Oryctolagus cuniculus: one gene and its partners. The protein of the gene in region 3 purifies or fractionates together with the protein of the main gene of each other region. This does not show direct contact. Links are inferred from orthologs where the notes say so. Each region holds a gene or a part of one and is shown on either strand. Other genes may lie near its edges.

What was found.
Region 1: the proteins of CDC27 (region 3) and TTK purify together in Homo sapiens (affinity purification with western blotting; 3 studies listed by BioGRID). This does not show direct contact. The link is inferred for Oryctolagus cuniculus from reciprocal best matches to the Homo sapiens genes CDC27 and TTK.
Region 2: the proteins of CDC27 (region 3) and UBE2S purify together in Homo sapiens (affinity purification with western blotting; 4 studies listed by BioGRID, with this or other methods). This does not show direct contact. The link is inferred for Oryctolagus cuniculus from reciprocal best matches to the Homo sapiens genes CDC27 and UBE2S.
Region 4: the proteins of CDC27 (region 3) and CDH1 purify together in Homo sapiens (affinity purification with western blotting; 4 studies listed by BioGRID and IntAct, with this or other methods). This does not show direct contact. The link is inferred for Oryctolagus cuniculus from reciprocal best matches to the Homo sapiens genes CDC27 and CDH1.
Region 5: the proteins of CDC27 (region 3) and CDC26 purify together in Homo sapiens (affinity purification with mass spectrometry; 12 studies listed by BioGRID and IntAct, with this or other methods). This does not show direct contact. The link is inferred for Oryctolagus cuniculus from reciprocal best matches to the Homo sapiens genes CDC27 and CDC26.
Region 6: the proteins of CDC27 (region 3) and NEK2 purify together in Homo sapiens (affinity purification with mass spectrometry; 6 studies listed by BioGRID and IntAct, with this or other methods). This does not show direct contact. The link is inferred for Oryctolagus cuniculus from reciprocal best matches to the Homo sapiens genes CDC27 and NEK2.
Region 7: the proteins of CDC27 (region 3) and ANAPC2 purify together in Homo sapiens (affinity purification with western blotting; 20 studies listed by BioGRID and IntAct, with this or other methods). This does not show direct contact. The link is inferred for Oryctolagus cuniculus from reciprocal best matches to the Homo sapiens genes CDC27 and ANAPC2.

Annotation. Positions count from the first base shown.
Region 1 is NC_091436.1:92,424,527-92,428,429, reverse strand, and holds part of TTK (dual specificity protein kinase TTK), read left to right. Parts: intron 1-1,880; coding exon 1,881-2,057; intron 2,058-2,512; coding exon 2,513-2,597; intron 2,598-2,874; coding exon 2,875-2,972; intron 2,973-3,903.
Region 2 is NC_091449.1:3,531,203-3,535,539, forward strand, and holds the start of UBE2S (ubiquitin-conjugating enzyme E2 S), read left to right. Parts: upstream 1-1,162; 5' UTR 1,163-1,360; coding exon 1,361-1,363; intron 1,364-1,753; coding exon 1,754-1,901; intron 1,902-4,337. UniProt on the Homo sapiens protein: Accepts ubiquitin from the E1 complex and catalyzes its covalent attachment to other proteins. Catalyzes 'Lys-11'-linked polyubiquitination.
Region 3 is NC_091448.1:17,013,844-17,016,854, forward strand, and holds part of CDC27 (cell division cycle protein 27 homolog), read left to right. Parts: intron 1-1,451; coding exon 1,452-1,526; intron 1,527-2,604; exon of another isoform or gene 2,605-2,623; coding exon 2,624-2,780; intron 2,781-3,011. UniProt on the Homo sapiens protein: Component of the anaphase promoting complex/cyclosome (APC/C), a cell cycle-regulated E3 ubiquitin ligase that controls progression through mitosis and the G1 phase of the cell cycle.
Region 4 is NC_091449.1:51,968,706-51,972,608, forward strand, and holds part of CDH1 (cadherin-1), read left to right. Parts: intron 1-483; coding exon 484-628; intron 629-2,985; coding exon 2,986-3,161; intron 3,162-3,289; coding exon 3,290-3,418; intron 3,419-3,903.
Region 5 is NC_091432.1:216,877,744-216,882,429, reverse strand, and holds the start of CDC26 (anaphase-promoting complex subunit CDC26), read left to right. Parts: upstream 1-1,503; 5' UTR 1,504-1,737; exon of another isoform or gene 1,738-2,190; intron 2,191-3,496; 5' UTR 3,497-3,599; intron 3,600-4,188; 5' UTR 4,189-4,228; coding exon 4,229-4,309; intron 4,310-4,686. UniProt on the Homo sapiens protein: Component of the anaphase promoting complex/cyclosome (APC/C), a cell cycle-regulated E3 ubiquitin ligase that controls progression through mitosis and the G1 phase of the cell cycle.
Region 6 is NC_091444.1:26,244,386-26,248,288, reverse strand, and holds part of NEK2 (serine/threonine-protein kinase Nek2), read left to right. Parts: intron 1-497; coding exon 498-735; intron 736-2,797; coding exon 2,798-2,923; intron 2,924-3,903. UniProt on the Homo sapiens protein: Protein kinase which is involved in the control of centrosome separation and bipolar spindle formation in mitotic cells and chromatin condensation in meiotic cells.
Region 7 is NC_091432.1:237,477,369-237,481,271, forward strand, and holds part of ANAPC2 (anaphase-promoting complex subunit 2), read right to left. Parts: intron 3,695-3,903; coding exon 3,562-3,694; intron 2,201-3,561; coding exon 2,026-2,200; intron 1,772-2,025; coding exon 1,652-1,771; intron 1,363-1,651; coding exon 1,245-1,362; intron 1-1,244. UniProt on the Homo sapiens protein: Together with the RING-H2 protein ANAPC11, constitutes the catalytic component of the anaphase promoting complex/cyclosome (APC/C), a cell cycle-regulated E3 ubiquitin ligase that controls progression through mitosis and the G1 phase of the cell cycle.

The DNA of each region.
Region 1 (3,903 bases), on a different chromosome or scaffold from region 3:
GGTGCAGGGGCCCAAGGACTTGGGCCATCTTCTACTGCTTTCCCAGGTACATTAGCAGTGAGCTGGATTGGAAGTGGAGCAGCCGGTATTCGAACCTATGCTCACATGGGATGCCAGCACTGCAGACCAGGTCTTTAACCCACTGCGCTGACACCCCCCACCCCCAGCTTCTTAATTTAAATAATAACTAATTTAACTTTAGTATCCTTGCCTGCAATTAAAAAACATTAATACTATGAATTTTAGATGGCTTTGTGGCATAGCAGGTTAAGCCACCATTTGGGATTCCCACATCCCGTATTAGAGTGCTTGGCATCTAGTCCCCTTTTCATTTCTGACCCAGATTCATGCTGCTGACCATGGGAAACAGCAGATGAGATAGGCCACATATTTTGGTTCCTATCTCCTATATGGGACACCCAGATGGAGTTCTAGGTTTTTGGGTTTGGACTGACCCAGCCCTGGCTGTTGTGGGCATTTGGAAAGTTAACCAGTAGTTGGAAGCTTGCTCACTCTTTCTCTTTCTCATTCTACCTTTCAAATAAATAGATATGAAAACAAAACAAGGCAGGCATTGTGACACAACAAGGTTAAGCCACAACTTGGAATGCCCACATCCTATGTCAGTGTTCCTAGGTTTGTGTCTTGGCTCCTCTGCTTCCAATCCAGCTTCCTGCTGATGCATCCTGGGAGGCAGCATATGTGGGAGACCCCAAATGGACTTCTAGGCTTCTGGCTCCAGCCTGGCACAGCCCTGGCTATTGCAGGCATTTGGGAAGTCAACCAGTGCATGGAAGATAAGTCTGTCTCCTGTGACTCTGCCTTTCGAGTAGATTAAAAATTAAAAAATGAAAATTATAACTTGTACTCTGAGTTTTTACCCTAGATGCTATTTTTACAGATTTTACTGTAATTTCTTAATTTTACTCATGTCTAAAATTTGTAATTTAAGCTTTCAGGTTTCCATTTTACTTTGATTTATTTTTTGAGGGGCCAGAGTTGTGGTGTAACAGGATAAGCCACTGCCTGTGATGCTGGCATCGCATATGGGTGCTGGTCACAGCTGCTCCGCTTCCAATTAATGCACCTGCAAAAGCAGAAGCAGGTGGCACAGTGGTTTGGCCCCTCACCCACATGGGAGACCTGTATGAAGTTCCTGGCTTCAGCCTGGTCCAGCCCTAGCTGTTGCAGCCATTTCAGGAGTGAAGCAGTGGATGGAAGATCCCTCTCTGTCTCTCCCCCTCTCTTCTGTAACTCTGACTTTCAAATACATAAATCTTTAAAAAGAAAGTTAAAAATTTTTTAAAAAGTGGGAAGATTTCTTTTAAAAAAAGTGATTTATTTTGAATTGCACATAAGAGGTTTTTTTTTTAGTTGTCAACTGAATGATTTAATACTTAATGGTAAATCTTAATACTTGAATTAATATACAGTTTATTATAATCAGTCATTCTGGGAAAAATTAGAGTTTATAGTTATTTACTTTTAGTATGTATATTTGTTTATATAATTATGTTTATAATTTTAAGTATATTAGAGTTTATAGTTTTTTTATTTTTCCACTTATTTTCAGAAGTGAACAAAAATATTTTGTCTCAGTTGAAATATTTTAATTATGAATTTGTTGGAAGATTTAAAGTGAAAATCATCTCTGGATGAAATAACCAAATGTAATGAAAACTAGAAAAAGATGGTTTGTCATGTAAATATAATCTAGTGCTTGCACATTCAGTGAGAGATACTTATATTATTAAATATTAAGGAATTTACAATGAAAGGGCTTTGAAAACACACACACATGCACATTTTTATATTAGGAATGTTCTTAGATTCTATTATATATTAAAATAATGCAATTTGTTATTTTTTTTCCTACTTAGATAAGCCCAAAAAGTGATGTTTGGTCCTTAGGATGCATCTTGTACTATATGACTTATGGCAAAACACCATTTCAGCATATAATTAATCAGATTTCCAAATTACATGCCATAATTGATCCCAATCATGAAATTGAATTTCCTGATATTCCAGAGAAAGATCTTCAAGATGTGTTAAAGGTAACATATATATATATACATATAATATATATGATATATTATAATACTTAATATAATTAATTGTTTAAAATAAATGGAATGAGTAGAAGTATATAACTGGCTTAAATATAATTATTCTATTAAGTGGTTTTATTGACTGAATTAGCTTTTTAGAATGTGTTTAGTTTACCTTGAAGGTATGAATACTTGGGTTTCCCAAGTGGCTTGAGTGGTAGCCTTGTCATTATTTCGTGCTATATGAAGGGTCTTTAAAAATTTCATACAAATGTATATTAAGAAAATACTTTGGATTTCAAAAAATTTTTTGCACCTACATAAACTTTCATGAACTCTAATATACTCTCTTATCTAGAAAGAAACTTCTATGATATATAACCTGGAAAAAATATTTTTATCAAAGGCACATAGGAAAACTTAACTTTTCTTTTTTAAAAACTTAATGTTTATTTTCATAGCGTTGCTTAATAAGGGACCCTAAACTGAGGATATCGATTCCTGAGCTCCTGGCACATCCATATGTTCAAATTCAAGCTCATCCAGGTACTACTGCCTTAAAAATTACTAAATTCCTAGACAGCCTATTTGTAAATACAGATAATCTGAATTGACTACCTTTTAGCCTGCCTTATTAAAGTAACTAAAACTGCCTTTTTTTTACCAGCCGGCATACATTTTTCATTTATCCTGTGATAAAAGGCTATGATCAGTGATAAATGATAAGAATCAGTTTTTGTGCTGTTAAACGGAATATGTTTTTATAATGGACTATGTTTTTCTTCTTGGCTCTAGTGAATTATTGGCTGTATTTATTTTGTAGGTAACCAAATTGCTAAGGGAACATCTGATGAAATGAAAAATATTCTGGGCCAACTTGTTGGTCTGAATTCTCCTAACTCCATTTTGAAAGCTGCTAAAGTAAGCATTTCCATTCTTTGTCTACATTGCTCTTAACTGTTTTAAGTAGTTCTGTGAGTTCAACACTTAAAGAAGCAGATAATCCAAAGTGTTGGTTCAGTCATCAAAATTAGTTAGTTATGAAGGATGTTTCTACATTTAGATACTTCACATGTTTTTTGACAAATAGAGATTTATTTGGTTTATAGTGTTGTGCATACAGCACAGTTCAGAATGGTTTGTCATATGTGGTACATTTGGAAGATTACTGTCAGGTCTCAATTGGAATATATTTAATGTAGGAATCTGTTAGCTAAGCACCATCCTTAACAAAGGATTAAATTCCTTCTGCCCCATTTTTAAAAAGTATGTATATATGTATGTAGGTATGTATTTGAAAGAACAATAGAAAGAGGGAGGGACAAATCTTCTATCTGCTCGTTTATTCCCAAATGGCTAGGACTGGCCCCAGCCAAACCTGGGAGACCAGAATGCCATGTGGGTCACCCACGTGAGTGGTGGGGGCCCAAGTACTTGGGCCATCTGCTGCTGCTTTCCCAGGTGCATTAGTAGGGAGCTGGATCAGAAGTGGAGCAGCTGGAGCTGGATCCAGTGCTCTGATATGGAATGCTGGTATCAGAAGCAGCAGCTTATTAATTCTTTGTGCTACAATGCTGGCCACCTAGGTAATATTTTTCTTAAGCCTTGTTAGAGAAATCACAGTGTCTGTCATATGTTGTGGCTTCTGTGAAGCTGCAAAGAGCAATCAGTACATTTCTCAAGTTTTTCAGCCTCCCAATCCTGTTTATACCTATACCATGATTTTTAGACCTCATTGTCATCAAACACATTCATTTCTAGAACCCCATGAGTGTTTATTGACCAAATATGTATTTATGTATTTCTGTTATAAAATTTTAGGAGCTTAAACTAACAATATTCTTAGTTCTCT
Region 2 (4,337 bases), on a different chromosome or scaffold from region 3:
TCCGGGCCGGACCTCCGGCTTCCTCGCCTGTCAGACGGGCTAACCCGACAGCCGGGCCCCGCCAACCTCGACCCGCTGCCCCCACGAGCGCACGGGGCCACGCGGGGCCTCAAGGCCGCCCCCTCGCCTGGCGTCTCCGGCCACGGACACCCGCGTCCGCACACGACGCCCTTCCCAGACTCCTGACCGGGAAGGGGCGTCCCGGAAGAGGCCGGGAGCCGCCTGTCCGTCACAGGTAGAGCCACGCCCCGCGCCTCCCTTCCTTCCCGGGCATCCCCAGGGCTCCCCGGCCGCACGCGCAAGCAGGCCCCGCGTCCTCGCCGAGGCCAGGCGAGGGTCAGGGGCCACACCCCAGAGGGCCGGCCGGCGAAGCACGTCTTCCACGCCACGCCGGCGAGGCTCTGAGCCTCGGGGACCTGGGCATGTCCGGCACAAAATGGCGCCTCCGAGAAAAACGAAGCGGGATTTCCCGCGCCCGCCCCCGGCCCAGGGAGAGGGGGCTCGGCGGGCACTGCACGCCTCATTTGCATATACAAAAAATCAAGACATTTCGTTGGCTGGAAGCACTTTGGCCCGCGCTCTTCTGGGTAGTCATTGGTCGCGCTCCTTTCTTGCCCGCCCCCCAGCCTCGGCACCGCCTTCTCCGTCAGGGATTGGTCCGCGCGAGCCTCGTGACTCCCCCATCGCTAGTGCGCGTCCGTTCGGCCCGAGCGCCTTCCGTCACCCGTTTAAAACCCACGAGTCCCGCCCCCTCTCGCCCCTCCCCGCGCCTCAGGGCGACCGTTAGTCGCGTGCGCGTCGTTCTCGGCGTCGGGGCACGCGCGCGTAACTCGGGCGTCCGATTCAAACGGCCCAATCAACGGCCGCAGCATCTCCCGCGCCCCCTTCCTCGCTGCTCCGCGCCCTCAACCGCCGCCCTCTCCCGGCGCGCTTCCCGGCTCCTGCGCGCCCCCGCGGGCCGGCCCGCCGCTCAGCCCCCGTCCCAGCCTCTCTCGCTTCTACCTGAGCTGCGCGGAGGGGGCGCCAGCGCGTGAGCGCGGAGGCGCGTGCGTGCTGACGTCACGAGCCGGGCGCGGCGCGGCGCGGCCTGCGGGGGGCGTGGCCTGCGGGGGGCTACAAAAGGGCGGCGGGGCGCGCACGGCGAGTTCAGTCCGGCTCGGCTCCCGCGGCGGGCGGAGCGGCGTGCGGTGTGCGCGGCGGCGGCGGCGGCGGCGGCGGCGGCGGAGGGGCGCGGAGTGGAGCTGCGGGTCCGCGCCAGGACCGCGGCGGCGGCTGTTGACCCCTTCCCCGCGCCCCGGTTGGCTTCCCCGGAGATCGCAAGAAGGGGGCCGGGGGGACCCGCCCCCGGCCGGCCGCAGTCATGGTGAGCGCGGGGGTCGGGCCGGGCAGGGCCGCCGAGGGGCTGTCCTGGAAGAGCGGGCGGGCGGGCGGGCGGGCGGCCTCCGGGGTGGGCGCAGGCCGGGGCGGGGACTCCGGGCCTCCCGCAGGCGGGGCCGGAGCCTGGTTGTGCGGCAGGTGTCCCGGCGCGGGAGGCCCGGCGGGGCCGCGGGGAGGGCTCCGGGCGCCTGGTGGTCCGCCCGCGGCTGTCAGCGGGAGCGAGGACGTCCCGCCGCCATTTCCAGGCCTCGGCCGAGATCGGTGGGGTAGGGATGGCAGGCCCCGGGCGCGGCTGGCAGGCGGCCTGGGCTGCAGGGTCGAGCGCAGGGCGGCCCCCAGCTGTGGGCGGCTCACGCTGCCTCCCGTCCGTGCCCAGAATTCCAATGTGGAGAACCTGCCTCCGCACATCGTCCGCCTGGTGTACAAGGAGGTGGCGATGCTCACGGCCGACCCGCCCGACGGCATCAAGGTCTTCCCCAACGAGGAGGACCTCACCGACCTGCAGGTCACCATCGAGGGCCCGGGTGAGTGCGGGGCCGCGCGGGGCAGCGACGGGCGGGCCCTGTTCCGGAAGTGTTGGGAGCCCGCGCGCCCGGGCTCAGGACGGGGCTGTGAGCGAGGGGACCCGCGGAGGGGGCGGGAGCCTGCCGGCCGCAGGTGCGCCAGAGGGTCCCGCACTCCATCCTGCAGCCAGCGGCCGGGGCCGCCTGGCGGGAGCCGGGGCCGGGCACACCGTCCCTGCTCGCCCCTGGGTTCCCACAAAGCCAGCGAGGTGCGAACAGGAGCTCCTGAAGGGGCACTAGCCCTGGTGGCCAGCTGGAACGGGGCTCTGTGGGACAGAGAGGAAAGTCGGTGGGGAGGCACCGGCTCTTAGGTCTGCTAGGCCTCTGGTCTGGGAGGAGAGCTGGAGTCGGTACTGTGGTTAGCCCGCACAGGGCCCCCAGACCCACAGGCCAGGCTGTGATACCCGCACAGGGCCCCCAGACCCGCAGGGCAGGCTGTGATGGCTACACAGTGCCCCCAGACCCGCAGGCCAGGCTGTGATACCTGCACAGGACCCCCAGACCCGCAGGCCGAGCTGTGATGGCCGCACAGGGCCCCCAGACCCACAGGGCAGGCTGTGATGGCCACACAGGATCCCCCAGACCCGCAGGCCAGGCTGTGATACCTGCACAGGACCCCCAGACCCGCAGGCCGAGCTGTGATGGCCGCACAGGGCCCCCAGACCCGCAGGCCGGGCTGTGATGGCCTACACAGGGTCCCCCAGACCCACAGGCCAGGCTGTGATGGTCACACAGGGTCCCCAGACCCACAGGCCAGGCTGTGATACCCACACAGGGCCCCCAGACCCGCAGGCCGGGCTGTGATACCCACACAGGGCCCCCAGACCCACAGGCCAGGCTGTGATACCTGCACAGGGTCCCCAGACCCACAGGCCAGGCTGTGATACCCGCACAGGGTCCCCCAGACCCACAGGCCAGGCTGTGATGGCCGCACAGGGCCCCCAGACCCACAGGCCAGGCTGTGATACCTGCACAGGGTCCCCAGACCCACAGGCCAGGCTGTGATACCCGCACAGGGTCCCCCAGACCCACAGGCCAGGCTGTGATGGCCACACAGGATCCCCCAGACCCGCAGGCCAGGCTGTGATACCTGCACAGGACCCCCAGACCCGCAGGCCGAGCTGTGATGGCCGCACAGGGCCCCCAGACCCGCAGGCCGGGCTGTGATGGCCTACACAGGGTCCCCCAGACCCACAGGCCAGGCTGTGATGGTCACACAGGGTCCCCAGACCCACAGGCCAGGCTGTGATACCCACACAGGGCCCCCAGACCCGCAGGCCGGGCTGTGATACCCACACAGGGCCCCCAGACCCGCAGGCCGGGCTGTGATGGCCCACACAGGGCCCCCAGACCCGCAGGCCAGGCTGTGATGGCCGCACAGGGCCCCCAGACCCACAGGCCAGGCTGTGATACCCACACAGGGCCCCCAGACCCACAGGCCAGGCTGTGATACCTGCACAGGGTCCCCAGACCCACAGGCCAGGCTGTGATACCCGCACAGGGTCCCCCAGACCCACAGGCCAGGCTGTGATGGCCGCACAGGGCCCCCAGACCCACAGGCCAGGCTGTGATACCCACACAGGGCCCCCAGACCCGCAGGCCGGGCTGTGATACCCACACAGGGCCCCCAGACCCGCAGGCCGGGCTGTGATGGCCCACACAGGGCCCCCAGACCCGCAGGCCAGGCTGTGATACCCACACAGGGCCCCCAGACCCGCAGGCCGGGCTGTGATACCCACACAGGGCCCCCAGACCCGCAGGCCGGGCTGTGATGGCCCACACAGGGCCCCCAGACCCGCAGGCCAGGCTGTGATGGCCGCACAGGACCCCCAGACCCGCAGGCCGAGCTGTGATGGCCGCACAGGGCCCCCAGACCCGCAGGCCGGGCTGTGATGGCCTACACAGGGTCCCCCAGACCCACAGGCCAGGCTGTGATGGTCACACAGGGTCCCCAGACCCACAGGCCAGGCTGTGATACCCACACAGGGCCCCCAGACCCGCAGGCCGGGCTGTGATACCCACACAGGGCCCCCAGACCCGCAGGCCGGGCTGTGATGGCCCACACAGGGCCCCCAGACCCGCAGGCCAGGCTGTGATGGCCGCACAGGGCCCCCAGACCCACAGGCCAGGCTGTGATACCCACACAGGGCCCCCAGACCCACAGGCCAGGCTGTGATACCTGCACAGGGTCCCCAGACCCACAGGCCAGGCTGTGATACCCGCACAGGGTCCCCCAGACCCACAGGCCAGGCTGTGATGGCCGCACAGGGCCCCCAGACCCACAGGCCAGGCTGTGATACCCACACAGGGCCCCCAGACCCGCAGGCCAGGCTGTGATGGCCATACAGGGTCCCCAGACCCACAGGCCAGGCTGTGATACCCGCACAGGGTCCCCAG
Region 3 (3,011 bases):
GCGGGACTCAAAATTCCCTAAACATGTATCAGGTTAATTTTTAAGTAGATCATTTTGTAAGGCCCACAAATGATGTTAAAAATCCTTGGCAGAAAAAATGTTTCATGCCCCAAGCCATCAAATTTGTACTATATGAAGCAATAAAAAACATACAAGTATACATACTTTTCTCCAGTTTGCTTTTGTCATTAACACTCTCCTGTTAAACAGGGGGACTTCAAAATGCTCATGGAAACTTAAAATAAAAGATAAATTTAGGGGCAGGCTAAACGTTAAGATGTGGCGTTGGAGCCGGCGCCGTGGCTCAATAGGCTAATCCTCCACCTTGCGGCGCCGGCACACCGGGTTCTAGTCCCGGTTGGGGCGCCGGATTCTGTCCCGGTTGCCCCTCTTCCAGGCCAGCTCTCTGCTATGGCCAGGGAGTGCAGTGGAGGATGGCCCAGGTGCTTGGGCCCTGCACCCCATGGGAGACCAGGAAAAGCACCTGGATCCTGGCTCCTGCCATCGGATCAGCGCGGTGCGCCGGCTGCAGCGGCGGCCATTGGAGGGTGATCCAACGGCAAAGGAAGACCTTTCTCTCTGTCTCTCTCTCTCTCACTGTCCACTCTGCCTGTCAAAAAAAAAAAAAAAAAAAAAAAGATGTGGCGTTGGGACCCCACATTCCATATCAGAGTGCCTACGCTTGAGTCCTGGCTCTGCTGATGGCACCTTCCAAGTAATGTGCACTCTGGGAGGTAGCAGATGATGAGCAAGTCCTTGGATCCCTGCCACATACACAGAAGACCTGAATTCGGTTCCTGGCCCAGCCCTAGAGATTGTGGGCGTTTTGGGCAATGACCAGTGACTAGGACCTCTGTCTCTCTGTCATTCACTGTCTCCCTCTTTCCCTGCTTCTGAAATAAACCATGAAAAATTGTTTTAAAATTAACAAAAGGTAAGTTTATTTTGGTGCAAAAAAATTGAAATCTAGGCACAATTTTTCCATAAGACACATTCTCCATTAACTTTTTTAAAAAAGATTATATTTTACTTTGTTAGTTAAATTGGGTAGGTTGATACTTGAAGCCTAATGCTTACTCAAGGAGACCAGATGGAACTTCAGGCTACTTTATTCTGTAACTTAGTTTTCAAACCACTTTCACAACCTGATAAGGTGGTTGTTGTTTTTAAGTAGAATGGTGACAAAAGCAAGGATTGTCACCACCTTCATGTTTCACAAAAGAGGCTGTGTGTGGGGAGGGGGTTTTCAGTGTATTTTGATGGGTGCTTGCCATTTCTTAGTTTTTGTTGTAACTTAAATGTTTTTCATTTTGTTTTCACAAGAATTAATGAAGTATATTGATTAAGATAACACCAAGCTTTTGTTTTATGATTTAGAAAATTAATAAACATAATTGCTTAATCAAAATGTAAAATTTTGCTGCTCTAAAATTTTTCTTTGCCTTTTTCAGTCTGCTTTACAAGAACTTGAAGAATTGAAGCAAATTGTTCCCAAAGAATCCCTTGTTTACTTCTTAATAGGAAAGGTAAAGATTGAGGCCATGGTCCTAAACTGTGATTTTCATACCAAATATTAACTTTTGAAGAATAAACATAATACTTTAGTGTACAGTATCTATTGAGAAAATTCAGTGAGAGCTCTGAACTAAGTGCTCTGAAGATAATGGATTTAGTTCTGACATCTTAAGAAGATAATGTCCTAATGAAGGAGCAAGAATACATAACCCATAATCCTAATCCAAAATGGTATTGGAAGTAGATTAGCAATTTGCAGCCAAAGGCAAGTAATGAGGCTGTAACTGAGACTACCACATGGAAAGCACTTAGCTTCCAGTTCTCAGTAAAAACACTTAGAAATCCCCCAGAAGAAGACTGTTAATACCTCAATATTGTCTTGATTAGAAGAAATGGCTTCCAAGATTCCTATTTTATAGGCTGGGATCTCAGTGTCTAATTGATTTAACTGGTACAACTGTGGGCAGATATTGAGTTGATAGAAGTATATTTAAAGTCAGCGTGAATGTACTTTTTTTTTTTAATATATTATTTGAAAGGCAGAGAGAGAGAGAGAGATCGTCCATCTGTTGGCTCACTCTCCAAATGCCTGCACAACAGCCAGAGGTTAGGACAGGCTGAAACCAGAAGCCTGGAACTCAGTCCAGGTCTTCCGTGCGCTGGCAGGAACCCAGCTACATACACCGTCACCTGCTGCCTCCAAGAGGCTGTATTAGCAGGAAGCTGGAATCAGGAGCAGAACAGGGGCTTGAAGCCAGGCCTCATACACAGGTTCCCAGCTGCCGCCCAAGTGCCCGCCACACTGTGTGAACGACTGCTAATCGAGCAGCTTGGAGTCCATTTCTTCCCGTTGTCAGTGTTCAAGTCAGAGTGAGATTCTTGGAAACGCACACCTGAAAGGTAGTCAGGGAATTCTGAACGTGGTATCTGAGTGCGCTCAGAAGCAGCTCACAGCCAGCGTGAGTCCGTCTGTGGATTGTAAATGTCTTCCCTGTCTGAATGGGGTTAGCACATAAATCAAGAGTCCCATTGAAGCTTTAAATGTTTAGAATTTTATAGCTGAAGCTCACAACTTAATGAAAAATGTAGTATTGCTGTTTATTTTTAGGTTTACAAGAAATTAGGTCAGACACACCTCGCCCTGATGAATTTCTCTTGGGCTATGGATTTAGATCCTAAAGGAGCCAATAACCAGATTAAAGAGGCAATTGATAAACGCTATCTCCCAGATGACGAAGAGCCAATAACTCAAGAAGAACAGATCAGTGAGTATCATACATATGACTTTGAGTATTTGAAAGCTACTTTTTGCATAAAGATTTGTGGACTGCTTGTTTTTCTATCCATGGGGTTTTATTTTCTTTATACCAAGTGGAATTTTAGGTGACCAGGGTGAGGTAATAATCAGATGTCTATGGAATCAGGTAGAAGGTCTCAGTTTTGAACCTAGTTTTCTTCAGGTTGGTTCCAGCCAGTGGACTTGCAGAAATCTATTG
Region 4 (3,903 bases), on a different chromosome or scaffold from region 3:
CATGGGAGGGGCTCGATCTGTTGCCAAGGAGACGAGACAGGGGCACCCAGGACAATTTGAAGTTGTGAATTGTTTTCCTTTTAGGAGAAAGGGGGGGACAGTGCTCTCGTACCATGCGTGAGTTTAGACCCAGGATATCAACCTGCTCTTGGCTTAAAGGAGCAGTGGTGACACTGGGGGAAGAACCAGTTCCTGGACTTGGTAGCAGGCAGTGTGGGTTTGGGGCGGCTGGAGGGAACGTGTTGGTGCACGTGCAGAGGGGTCTGGGGCAACTCCAGACTGGATGGCTTTATCCCTTCTGGGCCTGATGCCCTGGTCCTCGGGGTGGGAAGCAGAAGGGGGTCAGGATCTCACTGAAGCAGCAGCCCAGGTCTCAGAGTAGAAGTCGCAGAGGCCGGAGGATCCCACACTGCCCTGGCCAGGCCCATCCTCTGCCTCTTCATCCTCGCCGGGGCCCGAGTAACCTTCCACTGGCTCCTGCAGCTCTTCTCTCACGCCGTGTCGTCTAACGGGAACGCCATTGAGGACCCGATGGAGATCGTGATCACGGTGACGGACCAGAACGACAACAGGCCTGAGTTCACCCAGGAGGTCTTCAAGGGCTCGGTCATGGAAGGCGCGCTACCAGGTCTGTCCAGGACGAGCGGCTGGTTGCCTGGAGCCGGGGTCAGGCCCCTGACGCGGACCCTTGCTGTGGACAGAACTTGTTTGGGAGCCAGTGTGTGTGTGTGTGTGTGTGTGTGTGTGTGTGCACATGCAACACAACCTAGCCTCAGGAATGTGCGACTGATGGAGCAGTGACAGCCACCTCCCCCCCTGCCTAACACAGCAGTGCTTGTGTATTGCTCTTTGTTCTTCTAAGGTTTATTATTTGAAAGTCAGAGTTAGCCATCAGTTTTCCGTCTGCTGGTCCACTCCCCAGACAGCCACAACCATCAGGGCTTAGCCAGGCAGGAGCCAGGAGCTTCATCCAGGTCTCCATGTGGGTGGCAGGGGCCCAAGCGCTTGGGCCATCTTCTGCAGCTTTTCCCAGCCCATTAGCAGGGCACTGGATCGGAAGTGGAACAGCTGGGACTCAAACCAGGACCCATATGGGATGCCAGCATCGCAGGTGGAGCCTTACCTGCTTTGCCATAGCCACATGTGCTGCTCACACAACATGCTGAGCCATGTTAAGCGATGACAGAGTGTCTCCCAGGTGGCTGAACCGGTTTACATTCCCACCAGTAATATAGATCCTGGGCTTACTGGACATTTTGGCGTTTGCCTACCTGTCGTGTGATTATGTCTTAGTGCAGTTTAAAAGGGCATCTCAGTGATTACCAGTGAGCTACACAACTTTGCTAGCCACTTGTGTTTCTTTTTCAGGACTGTGTGTGTGTGTGTGTGTGTGTGTTTCTGTTGGGCTGGTTGTGTTCCCTAGTGATCCTTTTCCTAACTGTGTAGTTGTTTAAAAAAATTTTACTTATTGAGGGATAGAGAAAGAGCACTCCCATCTGCTGATTTACTCCCCAAATACCCACAACATCTGGAGCTGGCCAGGCTGAAACCAGGGGCCAGGAACTCCAGGTCTCCCATATGGGTTGCAGGGACCCAAGTACTTGGGCTATCACCTGCTGCCTCCCAAGGTGCAGTAGCAGGAGGTGGAGTCGGGAGCAGAGCCAGGACTTGAAGCTAGGCAACTCCAGTGCCTACTCAGTGCCTTAGCCACTGGGCCAATTGCCTGCCCCCTTGTTGATTTTTTTTTTTTTAAAGATTTTATTTATTTGAAAGGCAGAGTTAGAGAGGTGGAGAGAAAGAGAGAGAGGTCTTGTATCTGCTGGTTCACTCCCCAAATGGCCACAACGTCAAGAGCTGGACCAACCTGAAGCCAGGAGCTTCTTCCAGGTCTCCCATGTGGGTGCAGGGGCCCAAGGACCTGAGCCATCTTCCACTGTTTTCCAGGCGCATTAGCAAGGACCTGGATCAGAAGTGGAGAAGCTAGGACTTGAACTGGCTCCCATATGGGATGCTGGCACTGCAGGCTGGGGCTTTAACCCTCTACGCCACAGTTGCTGGGCCCAAACCCTACCCTGTTGATTTTTAAGCATTATTTAGATGTTCTAGATACTAGACTAGACACTAGTCTCTTGTCAGTCACACGTGTTAATGAGTATTTTCTTCCACCTTGAAGGCAATGATCTCAAATTACCATGCACTCCAATAAAGCTGCAACAACAAGCCAAGTGAGGAAAGTTCTGGAATGTTCTTTCTGTCTGTCTGTCTGTCTTTCTTGGCAGAGGAAAACAGGAGAGATTGATTGATTGTTCATCTTCTGGCCCACTGCCCAGATGGTTGCAATGGCCATGGCTAGACCAGGCTTAAGCCAGGAGCCTGGAAACTCCATCCAAATCTCCCACCTGGGTGCAGGAACCAAGCACTCAGGTCATCTTCCGCCGCCTTCCCTGGCACATTAGCAGGGAGCTGGATCAGAATTAGAACAGCCGGGGCTCAAACTGGTGCTTGTACATAATGCCAGCATTGCAGATAACAGCTTAAGGCATCACACTACAATGCCAGTGCCTGGATTTTTCTTATCTTTGATGCCATTCACTCAGTAAAGCCACATCACAAAGTGTTGTAGAGATATTTAGTCCTCAGATTCACCTCTGCGTGCTGCCCGAAATGTGTGTTGGAAAAGTTGGGTCCTCGTTTGGCTGGATGCTTTCTTCCTCCCCTTGCGCTTTAGTGAGAACGTCAGAGAATTGGCATCAGCTGCTGGTGGGGGAGCCTGGCTGTCGCAGGCATCCGGGGAGTTAACTGGTGGGAAGGAGCTCGCTCCGTCCGTCTCTAACTCAACGGATAAAGTAAAAGTTCAGCACTCAGGGCCCAGGAGCTGGGACGTGACCGCATCGAAGCTGCCCTCTGTCCTGTGGGCACGAAGTCGGCCCCAGGGCGGCCGTCAGGTTCCCAGCCTGATTGCGTCTTCTTCCCCGGGGCAAACAGGAACGTCCGTGATGCAGGTCACGGCTACGGACGCGGACGATGACGTGAACACCTACAATGCTGCCATCGCCTACGAAATCCTCAGCCAGGAGCCCGAGCTGCCGCACAAGAACATGTTCAGGATCAACCCGCAGACCGGAGTCATCAGTGTGGTCACCACCGGGCTGGACCGAGAGGTCAGGAGGACCCAGGGGACATGGAAGCGGCTGTGTGGTTGGCTAAATCCCGTGGCAGTGCGAGGCCACTTGTCCCAGAGCGGCGGCCGCTGCCCCCGTCCTAACCCGAGTGTGCTTGGTCTCCGCAGACGTACCCCGAGTACACCCTGGTCGTTCAGGCTGCTGACCTCCAAGGCGAGGGCTTGAGCACCACGGCGGAAGCGGTGATCACGGTCACTGACATCAACGACAACCCTCCCGTCTTCAACCCCACCACGGTAATCTCCCAGCGGTGCTGCTGCCCTCTGTTTGGGAGCCGAGCTTCCCCACTGCTCTGGGGAGGTCCTGCGTGCGCTCCCCAGCCCGGGCGATGCCGACTTAGAACCTGGAGGCCAACGCTCCGGCCTGGCCGTTGTGCTCGGGCATCTTTTTTCCCATCTCTGGCCCCGAGGCCCCTTGGTGGAGGACCGCGAAGATGCAGACAGCGCCCCTCAAAACCATGTCCTTGCCTCGCGTGTCCTTGTTGCGGATCTTACAGGGGTTCATTTACTCGCTGGGCAAATGTTTCCTGCTTGCAGCTGCACACTGTGGCGTGCGCTGGAGGCATCCTCACAGACAAAGCACACACAGGTTCTGTTCTACAGCTCAGCGTCTAGCCGGGGAGATACTGAGTAGTTTGCACGCCTTACTGAATACCAAGTATAATAAATGCATTCTGGAAGAAGGCACCGAGGGCCGAATGGAAGAACTTACTGTATTAGTT
Region 5 (4,686 bases), on a different chromosome or scaffold from region 3:
AGGCCAGCTCTCTGCTGTGGCCAGGGAGTGCAGTGGAGGATGGCCCAAGTGCTTGGGCCCTGCACCCCATGGGAGACCAGGAGAAGCACCTGGCTCCTGCCTTCAGATCAGCGTGGTGCGCTGGCCGCAGCGGCCATTGGAGGGTGAACCAACGGCAAAGGAAGACCTTTCTCTCTGTCTCTCTCTCTCACTGTCCACTCTGGCTGTCCAAAAAAAAAAAAAAAAAAAAATTCTGTAAAAAAAAAAAAAAGGCTCCTGGATGATGCTAGGTAGTGTAAGCAAAATATGAGTCTATAGATTCAAGTTTAAAAATTGAAAACTTGTAACATAAAACTACAGCTATCTAAGCTGAGGAAGGCACGCATTACAGAAAACTGGAGGTAAAGGTAAAGATGGACTGAAATCTGTCATCTTACCGGAGGTTATATTAATATTTCCTGCTTCAATTCCTGCTTTAAGTCCTTCTTTTCCCAAAATCCCAGATTCTCCTTTGGCCAGCCGCTCCCTTTCCTTCTCTTCCAGACTTCCATAATAAATGTGTGGCTTCTTCACCACCGGAGCCACCAGGTCATCAGGCGCTTTCGTTTTGGTGGCCTGCTAGACCGAAGGCTTCGATTAATTCAAGGCTCGATCTTAGCAATCCACGAGGCTTCCCTAAAGGGTGAAGTTCATCCTGACCTCCCCCAACAAAAGGCCAAACTGGGCGCCAGGGAAGATGCGCTTCACGGACCCGCGGGTGTGGGGATGGGGGCGGGAGGGCACGTCAGCCCTTCAATCACTTCCAGTTTGACAGCTTGAAGAGGTGGATTAAACCCGGTTCTCCGGGTGGTTCTGCCTCTGGAAGACGATCACTTCATTCTGTTGGAAGTGCAAGCTCTTTTTGGGTTTCGTGATACTTCCAGGGTTACCGTTTAACACGGGGGGAAACACCAAGGGTAAGGTAAAAGAACCGGCGTGGTGCCGAGGGAGGGGTAGCCAGTGACAACGCTCCTGCTCGGTCCATCTCAAGCGTTTTGAGACCTGTGGTAGCAGAGCAGGAGCCGGGAGGCCTCATCCCAATTCCGAGGTCTCCTATAGACAGCCACCGTGGCCAAGACACTCGCCCACTCCGGAGCCCTGGTTTGGACCAGTCGGAAGTGGTGTTTGCCGTTCGGGGCTGCGGTGGGACAGGTGCATACGAGTAACAGCACATACACTCGCTCAAGGGTCCGGGGAATGCTGCTCTGCTCTGGAGGGCAGGACCGAGTCCGGCAGCCCTCCACCCTGTCAGCCCGCTCCCTAACGGACCCTTCCCCGAGGGACCCCCACCCTCTCGGCGCTCCCTGCCGCAGTGAACTGAGATCCCGAGCTCCGTACCGTGGAGGACGCTCGTGACGAAGCCATGCTGGGCTCCGCAGCAGCCAAGCCCCAGAAAAAGCCAAGCTCTCCGTTTCAGACCATCCACCGCGCGCCCAGCAAAGCGGAACTACGTCACGGACCGGAAGTGAAGTCGGGCGCCGACGCAGCGCCCTGAGCGGCGCGGAGCATCATGGGAGTCGTAGTAGTTACTATTCTGGTCGCGTGGAGGGGCATGACCCTTAGAACCTCCGAGAAAAGCTCGCGGGAGACGAGGTTCTGGAGGGGAGAGGGGCGCGAAGCACTCTGGGAAGTGTAGTCCAGTTGGGCTCGCAGTAGATTCGTGGTGGGAGCTGAGGTTCCTTCCGGGAAGGGGCTGAGCGGGCTTGGAGAGAGAGGAAGGTGAGTCAAGTCGCGCGGCCGGGCGCTGAACTCTGGAGCTTACCGAGGGCTCCTAGAGACTTTACGTCGTCCCGGGGCGGAGGCCCATGTTGCCATGGAAACCATCGCCCGGACCGCTGAGTGTGGTCCTGGGGCTGGGCGAGGAGGGTTGTCGGGGTGGGGGTGGGGAGGAAAGTCCTCCCGGGGCCGGGGGCTCCGGCCGAGCTGGCTCAGTTTGCGGTGGATTTGGGCAGCGGTGAGAGATGAAGCTCAAAGAGCCCTCTAGCGTCTAAGTGAAGTAAAGAGCGGGCGAAGCTTCGGCCCGGTTTTGCTGTTGCTTTTGTTTCGTCTTCAGCCGGGTCTTTGTGTCAGACTGAGTGAGATGATGGCTAGGAAGGCGTCGGGTAGACCGCAGCCGACTCTCCTGCATAGCCCTGTGCTCCTCTGGGTGCGGGGGCATCAGCGATGAACAAGGCATGTAGTGGGTGGGAGACTCAAAATGTTCGTGTTTGCAGAGCTGGAACACCCCCCTCCCCCATCGTTATCTCTTCCGCCCCCCGCCCCCAACAACTGCAGTCATAAGTGCCTGTTATTTATTGAGCGTTTACTGAATACCACAGTTGTGTAGCCAGGAGCTTAATCGGCATTACGCCATTCAATTCAGACAGCAACAGAGTATAGAGGCAAGGAAGGTCTGGTGCGAGACAAAGATCGGAAACTTAAAGGGATCGGAGCCAGCACTTCAGCCGGGTCTCTACCCTGCTTCCTAGTGGTGGTGGTGGGCTTTTCGTTTTCGCAGAAAAGTTAAAATGCATAGCGATCTTCTCAGTATCCCTTCCTCACCCCATTTGGAACTTCGTTTTCCTCTGCTGCTTGTCGGCATTGGAATCTGGTGGACAGTATCAGATTTAAGTCAAAGCAAATTGAAATGTAATGTTTTGTCCTGGAAGAGGGGCAACCGGGACAGAATCCGGCGCCCCGACCGGGACTAGAACCCGGTGTGCCGGTGCCGCAAGGTGGAGGATTAGCCTAGTGAGCCGCAAAAAAAAAAAAAAAAAAAAAAAAAAGTAATGTTTTGTGTTACCACTGCGTGTCTGTCTCAGGCTTCATGGGAGGAGGAGGAAATGTTTCTTCTTTTATGCACTTCTCAGTCCCCGGTTTCATCCTGGGTACAGCCAGTGGCGTTCATTTACATCAGTCTCATTTAATCCTCACCCCACGGTCCTATGTGTGACTCCTACAGGAGGCCAGACTGGACAGCTTGCTTTGACTTCTTTCTCTGTAAAATAGGACGATCTTGCCAGCCTCACAGGGTTTTCGTATTAAAATAAGCAAGTGAAGAATGGTGATGGAAAAATTAGCCCAGTGCTCACTCAAGTTCATTTTACTTTAGTTGTTTCCTATATTCAGGGAACGTTTACTGACTGCCTAATGTACATACACAGACTCTGTTGGGTGCCATGAAGGTGCCCCTCAACAGATACTAAACGTGATGGGGAGTTCTGTTTGCTCAAAGAAAGGGTTTTTGTTAAAAGTATTGTCTTGACTCAGACTGTTCTCTTGAGCTTCTTTGTGCACTTGTTCTCTCTGCCTGCTCTTTAGATGTCGACTAAGACTCCATTTAGACATCATTTCCTGCCATAGGCCGTGTTTAACATCCCTGGCCACCACCCCACACCTAGTCCAGCTTTCGGGCCAGCATGGCTGCCATTGTATTCTCATCAGTGTTCTTGCTCCCCTCGCTGTTAATTTTCCCCTCACGTGTCTGTTTCTCCCACAGGTTGTGTCTGTACCTTTTAATTTTGTAGCCGGAGCACAAGAAGTCTTTGCTAATGAATGATCTGTCTGGTTGATTGAGACACTGAAGAGAATCTTGTGAATTGGTGAGTTCAGTTTTGCCTAGAATTTTCTTATAGGCAGCTTGCTGGTGTTCAGTTTTTTCAGAAAGAGGTTTTTGAATCACCGCGTTGTGGATCTCCATCATGAAATACAAATGTAAGAAGCATACACCTAAAGCCTTAAGAAATCTATGTGTGGGGCTGGCATTGTGGCACGGAAGGTAAACCACATCTTGCAATATGGCATCCCATATCAGAGTCTTGGCTGCTCTGCTTCCAGTCCAGCTCCCTTCTAATGTGCCTGGGAAAGCACCAGATAATGGCCGGTGTGTGTGAACCCCTGCCACCCACTTGGGAAACAACAATGGAACTCCTGACTCCTGGCTTTGGCCCGGCTCATCCAGAGACACTGTGGCCATGGGAGTAGTGAACTATGGTGGATGAGAGATCTCTGTCTCTCTGTGCCTCTCCATCTCTTTGTCACTCTGCCTTTCAAAAAAAGAAAGAGATCTATGTGTGAATCCAAGTTTGATTTTGCTATTGCCTTCACTTTAGTGTACATGTGTAGAAATTGGCCTTATGTATGTAACTGCAACGTATCACCTCCAGTTTTTCTCTGTGTCATTTTTAATAGCTCATAGTTGATTGGATCTGCTCTCAGTGTAGATTTCAGTATGCTGCGACGGAAACCCACGCGCTTGGAGCTCAAGCTTGATGACATTGAAGAGTTTGAGAGCATTCGAAAGGACCTAGAGGTAAGAGTGCAACTTTCAAACCCTTAGGAATAGCTAAAACAATAACTTGTGAACTCCAGACTCTTACACCAATAGCTCTATTTGTCTCCTTTGCAGGCATCTCAGACTTTTACTGTTAGATCCTGTGGCTGCTCTAACAAAGTACCACAAACTCAGTGACTCAAGACAACAGAAATTTATTCTTACATGACTCCTTAGGCCAGAAATGGGAAATCTGTTCAGCTGGGCAGAAATCAGGGTGTCAGCAGGGCCACATTCTTCCAGAGGCACTTGTGAGAATCCCTTCCTTGGCCCTGCTGGCTTCCGGGCGGCCACCGTCCTCACTCCAGTTGTGTCTCCATGGCCACGTTGTCTCCCCTGTCCTGTCTGCGATACCT
Region 6 (3,903 bases), on a different chromosome or scaffold from region 3:
GGGATGAGAGGGGAGAGCGCAGAAGAGGAAGGGCAGGAGGAGACAGCAGAAGAGGGGAAGCCACAGGGATAAGCGGATTTCGTGGAGAAACTTTGAACGTGGGATGGAGGAAGGAGGCTGAGGTGAGGGGGAGGGAAAGTGCCCCAGGGTCGCAGAGGACACAGGCGGAGTGGGGGGGGGAGGAGGCTGGTGAACGGGCGTCCTGTGCCCTTTCGCCCGGAGATGCCAGGACAGTGCTTGCCCCAGGGCTACCAAGCACCAGCACGAGGTGTGCCGTGGTACTTCGAAGGGGGAAGGGATGGGTTGCAGCTGCGTGACCCCATGGACCCGGAAGCTCATGGGTGAAAACCGGCAGTGAGCTTGTCTTTGAGCTAAGAGCTGTCCAGAGAGGAGCGCTTTCTTCTGCTTCGGCGGCGCGTGCCCTTGTCGTGTCAGGCTCCCTTGGGGTAGCTGTCTCGCCGGGCCCTCTGACTGCAGCCTCAGTACTGTGCCCCCAGGACTACCAGCGGCCCTCTGTGGAAGAGATCCTGCAGGACGCTTTGATAGCGGACTTGGTTGCCGAAGAGCAAGGACGAGCTCTTGAGAGAAGAGGGCGGCGACCAGGAGAGCCGGAAAAGTCGCAGGAGTCCAGCCCGGGGCTCAGCGCCGGCCCCGGGCTCAGCGAGCTGAGGCTGAAAGAGCTACAGTTGCAGGAGCGAGAGCGGGCCCTCCAGGCCAGAGAGGACCGACTGGAGCGTAAGTCTAAGTCGGGAAGGCGGCGGGGGTCCGGGGCGGGGAGCCCGCACGAGGACGCTGGATATGCGTGGATATTTCCGTGAACGGAACATGCGTGGGGCTTCTCTAGAACCTTCCTGTGTGTTCCAGACTAGATCATCAGACTCGCAGGCGCTTTCGCCTTAGATAGCTTTCTCTCAAATCGGCTGCCAGACACATTTTGTTTTACTGTAGAGTTGATTTTTTTCTTATCTTTAAGATAAATACCCTAAAGTTTTTTGTTTTGTTTTGTTTTTGTTTGTTTGTTTTTTAAGATTTTAAAAATCTATTTGTAAGGCAGAGTGACAGGGAAAGAGGGATCTTGCACTTGCTGGTTAACTCATGCCCAAACGGCTGCAACAGCTAGGACTGGGCCAGGCCAAAGTGAGGAGCCGGGAACTCCATCCTGATCTCCCACCTAGGTGGCCGGGGCCCGTGTACTTGGGCCATCACGGGCTGCCTTTCGGGTGCATTAGCAGGAAGTTGGATCAGAAGCAGAGCAGCCAGGACTTGAACTGGGCTCCAGTACGGAGTGCCGTAGTCGCAGGCAGCAGCTTAACCTGCTGTGCCACAGCGCCGTCCCTGTGAAGTTCTTCCATGGTGAAAGAAGACCTTGGGGCAAGCCTTTGACACAGCAGTTAAACTGCCTCTCGGGACTCCCGCCTCCCGTGTCGAGTGTCTGGGTCGAGTCCCGGCTGCGCTCTGCAGTCCAGCTTCCCAGTAATGCACACTTTGGGAGGCAGCAGGTAAGAGCTCACGTTGCATCCCAGCCACCCACGTGAGAGACCCAGATGGAGCTTCTGGCTCCTGGCTTTGGCCTGGCCCAGCCCTGGCTGTTGGTGGCCACTGGGAGAGTGAACCAGCAAATGAGCACTCTGTCTCTTGTCTCTGCATTTCCAATAAAAGATCATAAGTAAAAAGGTTTTCAAAGTTGCTGCCTTCCATAATAAAAACCATGACTTCTACCTTGTGCAGGGTCTACGCCAACACAGTTCCGGGTCTGAAGTCCTGGGAGTGCCTAGGAGTGAGCTACCCTGAGGCAGTTGGGCATATGGGTGTGAGATCGCCTAGGTTAATAAATAATACCTGCTGGGTGTTGGCGCTGGCTCCATGAGTGCTGACTGATACGGTGCCAGTTAGTCTGTGATGCTGCAAGTCTGTCTGCGCCACCCAGAGCTGCCAGTGCGATTTTAGGGCCATGCGAGGCAGCGGCAGCAGTGGAAGTCTTCCCGTGAACACAGGAGACGAGGGCTGGGGCTGTGGCCGCCTCCTGCTGCCCCCTGGCTCACTGACTCTGCCGCTGCAGCTTTAGGCACCATGCAGGCTCTAAGCTCTTTAATGCTTAAATGCTCTCGTAACGCACACGGTGCGTTTGTTAACATTTTCCTCCCTGACGCTAACGGCAAAGTGCCGTCGAGGAACGGGAGCTGGGCTAAATCCAACCTTTGCTCACCGAGAGACTTTGTTGACTCCTCCAACCAAAGAATTCTGCAAAAAATGAAAATAAAAACACAGGCATCATCTGAAAATTGGCCCCCGTGTCCGGTAACCTCCCGCGGCAGCTGAAGCGCGAACACTGAATTTTGGGCCGGGAGTGGAGTTGCCATCGTTTCTGTTTAGAGCTGCTTGCTGCTGCCTTCCCTTCCACTCGGTGCCGTGCACCAGCCAGCAGAGGGAGAGTCCGTCCCCACTGTCCCCACCGTCCTGTCGCCGCCCCGGCCAGGAACTGTCGCTTGTTTTCAGTCACAAGCAGACATGGTTTTTGTGTTTACCCTCTCAGTCAGCTCCCACACAGCCTGACCCAGGGTTGGAGCTAACGTCGTTGGGCTTAAACAAGTCCTTGCAAGAAAACCCAAGCTGACCTACAACGAATCAGAACAGAGGCTCTAGCATACTCGGGTTGAGCAGGGACTCTGCTAAGAAATCGCTCTCAAAGCATTGCTACTCAGGGCCCAGGCACCTAGAGGTAGTGATTAGAAAGAGCAGTAAAACAACCAAATGTGAATTGTCGTGTTTTTTTTTTTTTTCCATGCCCCTTTTATAGAGAAGGAACGTGAGCTCTGTGTCCGTGAGAGGCTAGCAGAGGACAAACTGGCTCGAGCAGAAAGCCTGGTGAAGAACTACAGCTGGCTGAAGGACCGCAGGCTCCTGTCTCTGGGGAGCAATCCAGGTATGAGAACCGACTCCCTAACCCGGAGCTGGTGCTACCAATGAAGACGTGTGCCGGTGGCACCCGAGGTGGCTTTGCTAACCCTCCTAATGTACAGAGTCCCAAGTACATTCAAGGTGGATTTCCTTGAATTGATGCATATCCATGGAAATAAAATTCTATTATGGTGATGATTTATTGACTGGGTTCATTGACCTGAGGCAATGAATCGTAGGACTTCCTCTTAGGTTGAATTCACATGATCAGACCCCGTGGTTAGTGTTTGACATTTATTTTTAAAATTTGAGCACGTTTAAAAACTGCATTTCAGAGTTTTGCTCTGGTGTATTTTCAAAACTCTACGTCTCTCTATATTTTCAAGTGAAAATCCTGGCGTTTTAACACTGGCACACCTCGTGCTTTATAGAAAGGGTGGCCTAAAAGGCACGTTCCCTGCCAGTTGGGTGTTTTTATACTATTTATTGCAGCTTTCCTGGACTCCACACTGCCCTCTGACGCCAGACTAGACTGACTCGTGGTTAGGAGGGTAAAACACAGAGGGAATCACACCTGCGGGAGCCTCCGCGTGGGAGCGGCTGCAGGCCCTCAGCCGGGGTTGCTTACATCCTGCCCGCATAGGAGTTGACCAGAGGGTGAAAATAGCTCGATAAGGATGGGGGTTCACCCTATAGGACACAGGGGTAGGTGTGGGATCCACTGTGTGTGAATCACGGCCAGTACTTAAAATGAGCTGTGGGAGCTGTGACTCCGCTGGGCTGGGAGGCACCGAAGGCGCTGAGCCGCTCAGAACATGAGATGCACACCGGGGCCGTGAGGAGTGGGCGATCCTGTGACCTCAGGACAGCAGGAAACACCCTCACCCCACCCTCGGCCTACAGGATCCAGACGAGCGGAAGACATCACGAGTCTGTCCAGTTCAACACCATGAGCCTCGGCAGCTTTTCTTAAAAATCATTCTTTGTCCATTTAGCGGAATACCC
Region 7 (3,903 bases), on a different chromosome or scaffold from region 3:
GCCGCGGTAGCACAGGCCACGCCTCCCAGTCAGGCGGGGGGTGACGCCAAGTGCACGAGGACACAGGGACAGTGGGGGACCCGGGTCACTGCAGGACACAGGGACAGTGGGGGGCCGGGTCTCCGCAGGACACAGGGACAGTGGGGGGCCCAGGTTGCTGCAGGACACAGGGACAGTGGGGGGCCAGGTCACCACAGGAGACAGGGACAGTGGGGGGGGCCGGGTCACTGCAGGACACAGGGACAGTGGGGGGCCGGGTCACTGCAGGGGGACACTGGGACAGTGGGGGGCCGCGTCACCACAGGACACAGGGACAGTGGGGGGCCGGGTCACTGCAGGGGGACACTGGGACAGTGGGGGGCCGCGTCACCACAGGACACAGGGACAGTGTGGGGGCCGGGTCGCTGCAGGGGGACACTGGGACAGTGGGGGGCCGCGTCACCACAGGACACAGGGACAGTGTGGGGGCCGGGTCGCTGCAGGGGGACACTGGGACTGTGGGGGGCCAGGTCACCACAGGACACAGGGACAGTGTGGGGGCCAGGTCGCTGCAGGACACAGGGACAGTGGGGGGCCCGGGTCGCTGCAGGACACAGGGACAGTGGGGAGCCCGGGTCTCTGCAGGACACAGGGACAGTGGGGGGCCCGGGTCTCTGCAGGACACAGGGACAGTGGGGAGCCCGGGTCTCTGCAGGACACAGGGACAGTGTGGGGGCCAGGTCGCTGCAGGACACAGGGACAGTGGGGGGCCCGGGTCGCTGCAGGACACAGGGACAGTGGGGAGCCCGGGTCGCTGCAGGACACTGGGACAGTGGGGGGCCCGGGTCTCTGCAGGACACAGGGACAGTGGGGGCCCGGGTCTCTGCAGGACACAGGGACAGTGGGGGGCCCGGGTCTCTGCAGGACACAGGGACAGTGGAGGGGGGCCCGGGTCACTGCAGGACACAGGGACAGTGGAGGGGGGCCCGGGTCACTGCAGGACACAGGGACAGTGGAGGGGGGCCCGGGTCACTGCAGGACACAGGGACAGTGGGGGGCCCAGGTCGCTGCAGGACACTGGGACAGTGGGGGGCCGCGTCACCACAGGACACTGGGACAGTGGGGGGGCCGAGTCACTGTAGGGGGACACTGGGACCGTGGGGGGCCGGGTCGCTGCAGGACACAGGGACAGTGGGGGGGATAGGAGCCCCGAGGTGCCCGGCGTGAGAAGGCCGGGAGGCCGGCTCCCTGGTGCGGGGCCTCACCTCAGGTAGCGGCGGATGGGCTCACAAGCCACCTCCAGGATGACCATGGAGGGGTCCAGCACACGCAGCGCCTTGATGGCCGAGATGTAGAGAGTGATGATGTCACACGTGTTGACGCCTGCGGGGGTGGGGGCGCGGTCACTCAGAGTCCTGGACAGCAGCCCCCAGGTGCCGGTGCCAACACCCAAGTGGGCAGCCTACGGGTCTCCCCCGGGACCTGTCTCCCTAGGGGACCACAGGGAGCTGACCCCACCCCCACTTCCACCTTCTCACAGGCACTTTCTCCAGAGGCTTCCACGGACCAGGCAGCCTGTTCTGAGGAGCCCCCACCCCAGGCCAGACCAGCTGGGCCCTGCCTTCCTCCAGGAGCGCGCCCGGCCCAGGGGCTGCGCCGGGGCTGAGGGCACCTGGGTGGAGGAGCCGGGCCTCCAGCGCAGCTTTGAGCGACACGAGCAGCTGCTGCCTCTGGTCCGTCCTCTCCAGGCAGTACTTGAGGTCCTCGATGGCCGGCCGGGAGTCTGGGAAATCTGCGGGAAGGGGCCACCTCAGGGCCATGCACACGCACGCACACGCACACGCACACGCACACACGGGCAGGCCGGGAAGGCGCACGCGGCGAGGACACACGGGCTGCGGGCGCTCTGGGGACGGCACCCTTGACGCTCGCACGGGCGGCGTCTCAGCACAGCAACCCCGCGGGGTCACTGCCCACCAGGCCGAAGGGGCAGGGGACAGCGAGCCGGCGGGGTGTGGCCAGGACGTGGGTGGGGGCAGCACCCACCCCGCACGATGCTGAAGAGCTCCTCGATGCGCAGGCTGGCGTAGGTGCGGTAGAAGAACCTCTGCACGTGGCAGCGCCAGCGCCGCAGCGTGTTGCCGGCCTCCGGGGACGCGGGCCGGGCAGGGCCGTCCTGCAGGAACACCTTGCCCAGCCAGCCGACCACCCTCTCGATCCACTGTCGGAGAGCCCCCACGCGTGAGTGGCAGTGAGCCCCAGCCAACCCAGAGGCTGCCCACCCTGCTGGTCAGGCCTCGGCAGGCCCACCTCGCCCCTGCAGGGTGGGCCCCGCCCCCAGCACCTGTTACGCCTCACACCCTGCTGCGCATCAGGGCCCGGCAGGTCCCTGGCAGGCAGGGGCCACAGACTCAGCCGTGGTGACGACCGTGAGTGCCTGCGTATCCACAGCCCCCCATGGGCCCACTCGCCCAGACACCGCCTCAGCCCCAGCCCTCTGCTGTACGGGTGCAGCACACGGCCCCCAGTCCCCTCACCTCCCCAGTCCCCCCCATCCCCTCACCCCCCCAGTCCCCTCCCATACCCCCGTCCCCTCACCCCCCCAGTCCCCTCACCCCCAGTCCCCTGACTCCCCCAGTCCCCCCCCATCCTCCCCATCCCCTCACCCCCCCGGCCCCTCACCTCCCCAGTCCCCTCTCTCCCAGTACCCCCATCCCACCAGTCCCCTCACCCCCCTCACCCCCCCAGTCCCCTGACTCCCCCAGTCCCCCCCATCCCCTCACCCCCCCGTCCCCTCACCCCCCCGGCCCCTCACCCCCCCAGTCCTCCCCATCCCCCCCGTCCCCTCAACCCCCAGTCCCCTGACTCCCCCAGTCCCCCCCCATCCTCCCCATCCCCTCACCCCCCCGGCCCCTCACCTCCCCAGTCCCCTCTCCCCCAGTACCCCCATCCCACCAGTCCCCTCACCCCCCTCACCCCCCCAGTCCCCTGACTCCCCCAGTCCCCCCCATCCCCTCACCCCCCCGTCCCCTCACCCCCCCAGTCCTCCCCATCCCCCCCGTCCCCTCACCCCCCCGGCCCCTCACCTCCCCAGTCCCCTCTCCCCCAGTACCCCCATCCCACCAGTCCCCTCACCCCCCTCACCCCCCCAGTCCCCTGACTCCCCCAGTCCCCCCCATCCCCTCACCCCCCCGTCCCCTCACCCCCCCGTCCCCTCACCCCCCGGTCCACACTGCCGGCCGGCCTGCACCCCGCCCCTGGCCCCTCATCCCCCCCCCCCCGGTCCATGCTGCCGGCCGGCCTGCACCCCGCCCCCGGCCCCTCATCCCCCCGTCCACACTGCCGCCGGCCTGCACCCCGCCCCTGGCCCCTCACCCCCCGTCCACACTGCCGCCGGCCTGCACCCCGCCCCCGTCCCCCCCCCCCCCGTCCACACTGCCGCCGGCCTGCACCCCGCCCCTGGCCCCTCACCCCCCGTCCACACTGCCGCCGGCCTGCACCCCGCCCCCGGCCCCTCACCCCCCGTCCACACTGCCGCCGGCCTGCACCCCGCCCCTGGCGCCAGCGTGGCGGGGAGGTCACCTTGTGGAACTCGCGCAGGAAGGAGCGCTCGTACTCGCCCCTGCAGCGGTCCTCCATGCGCTCCCGCGTCACCTGGTGCAGGGTGGTGGTCACCGCCTCGGCACTGACGCGCTCCAGCAGGCTGAGCCGGTGCCTGGGGGAGAGCCTGTGTGGGACACGGCACGGCCACGTGGCCGGGGCACACGGGGGCGCACGCGCAGGGCCCACGGGGACACGGCCAGGGCCCACGCGCAGGGCCCCACGGGGGACACACGGGGGACATACGGGGGACATACGGCCAGGGCACACACGCGCAGGGCCCCACGGGGGACACAGCCAGGACACACGAGCAGGGCCCCACGG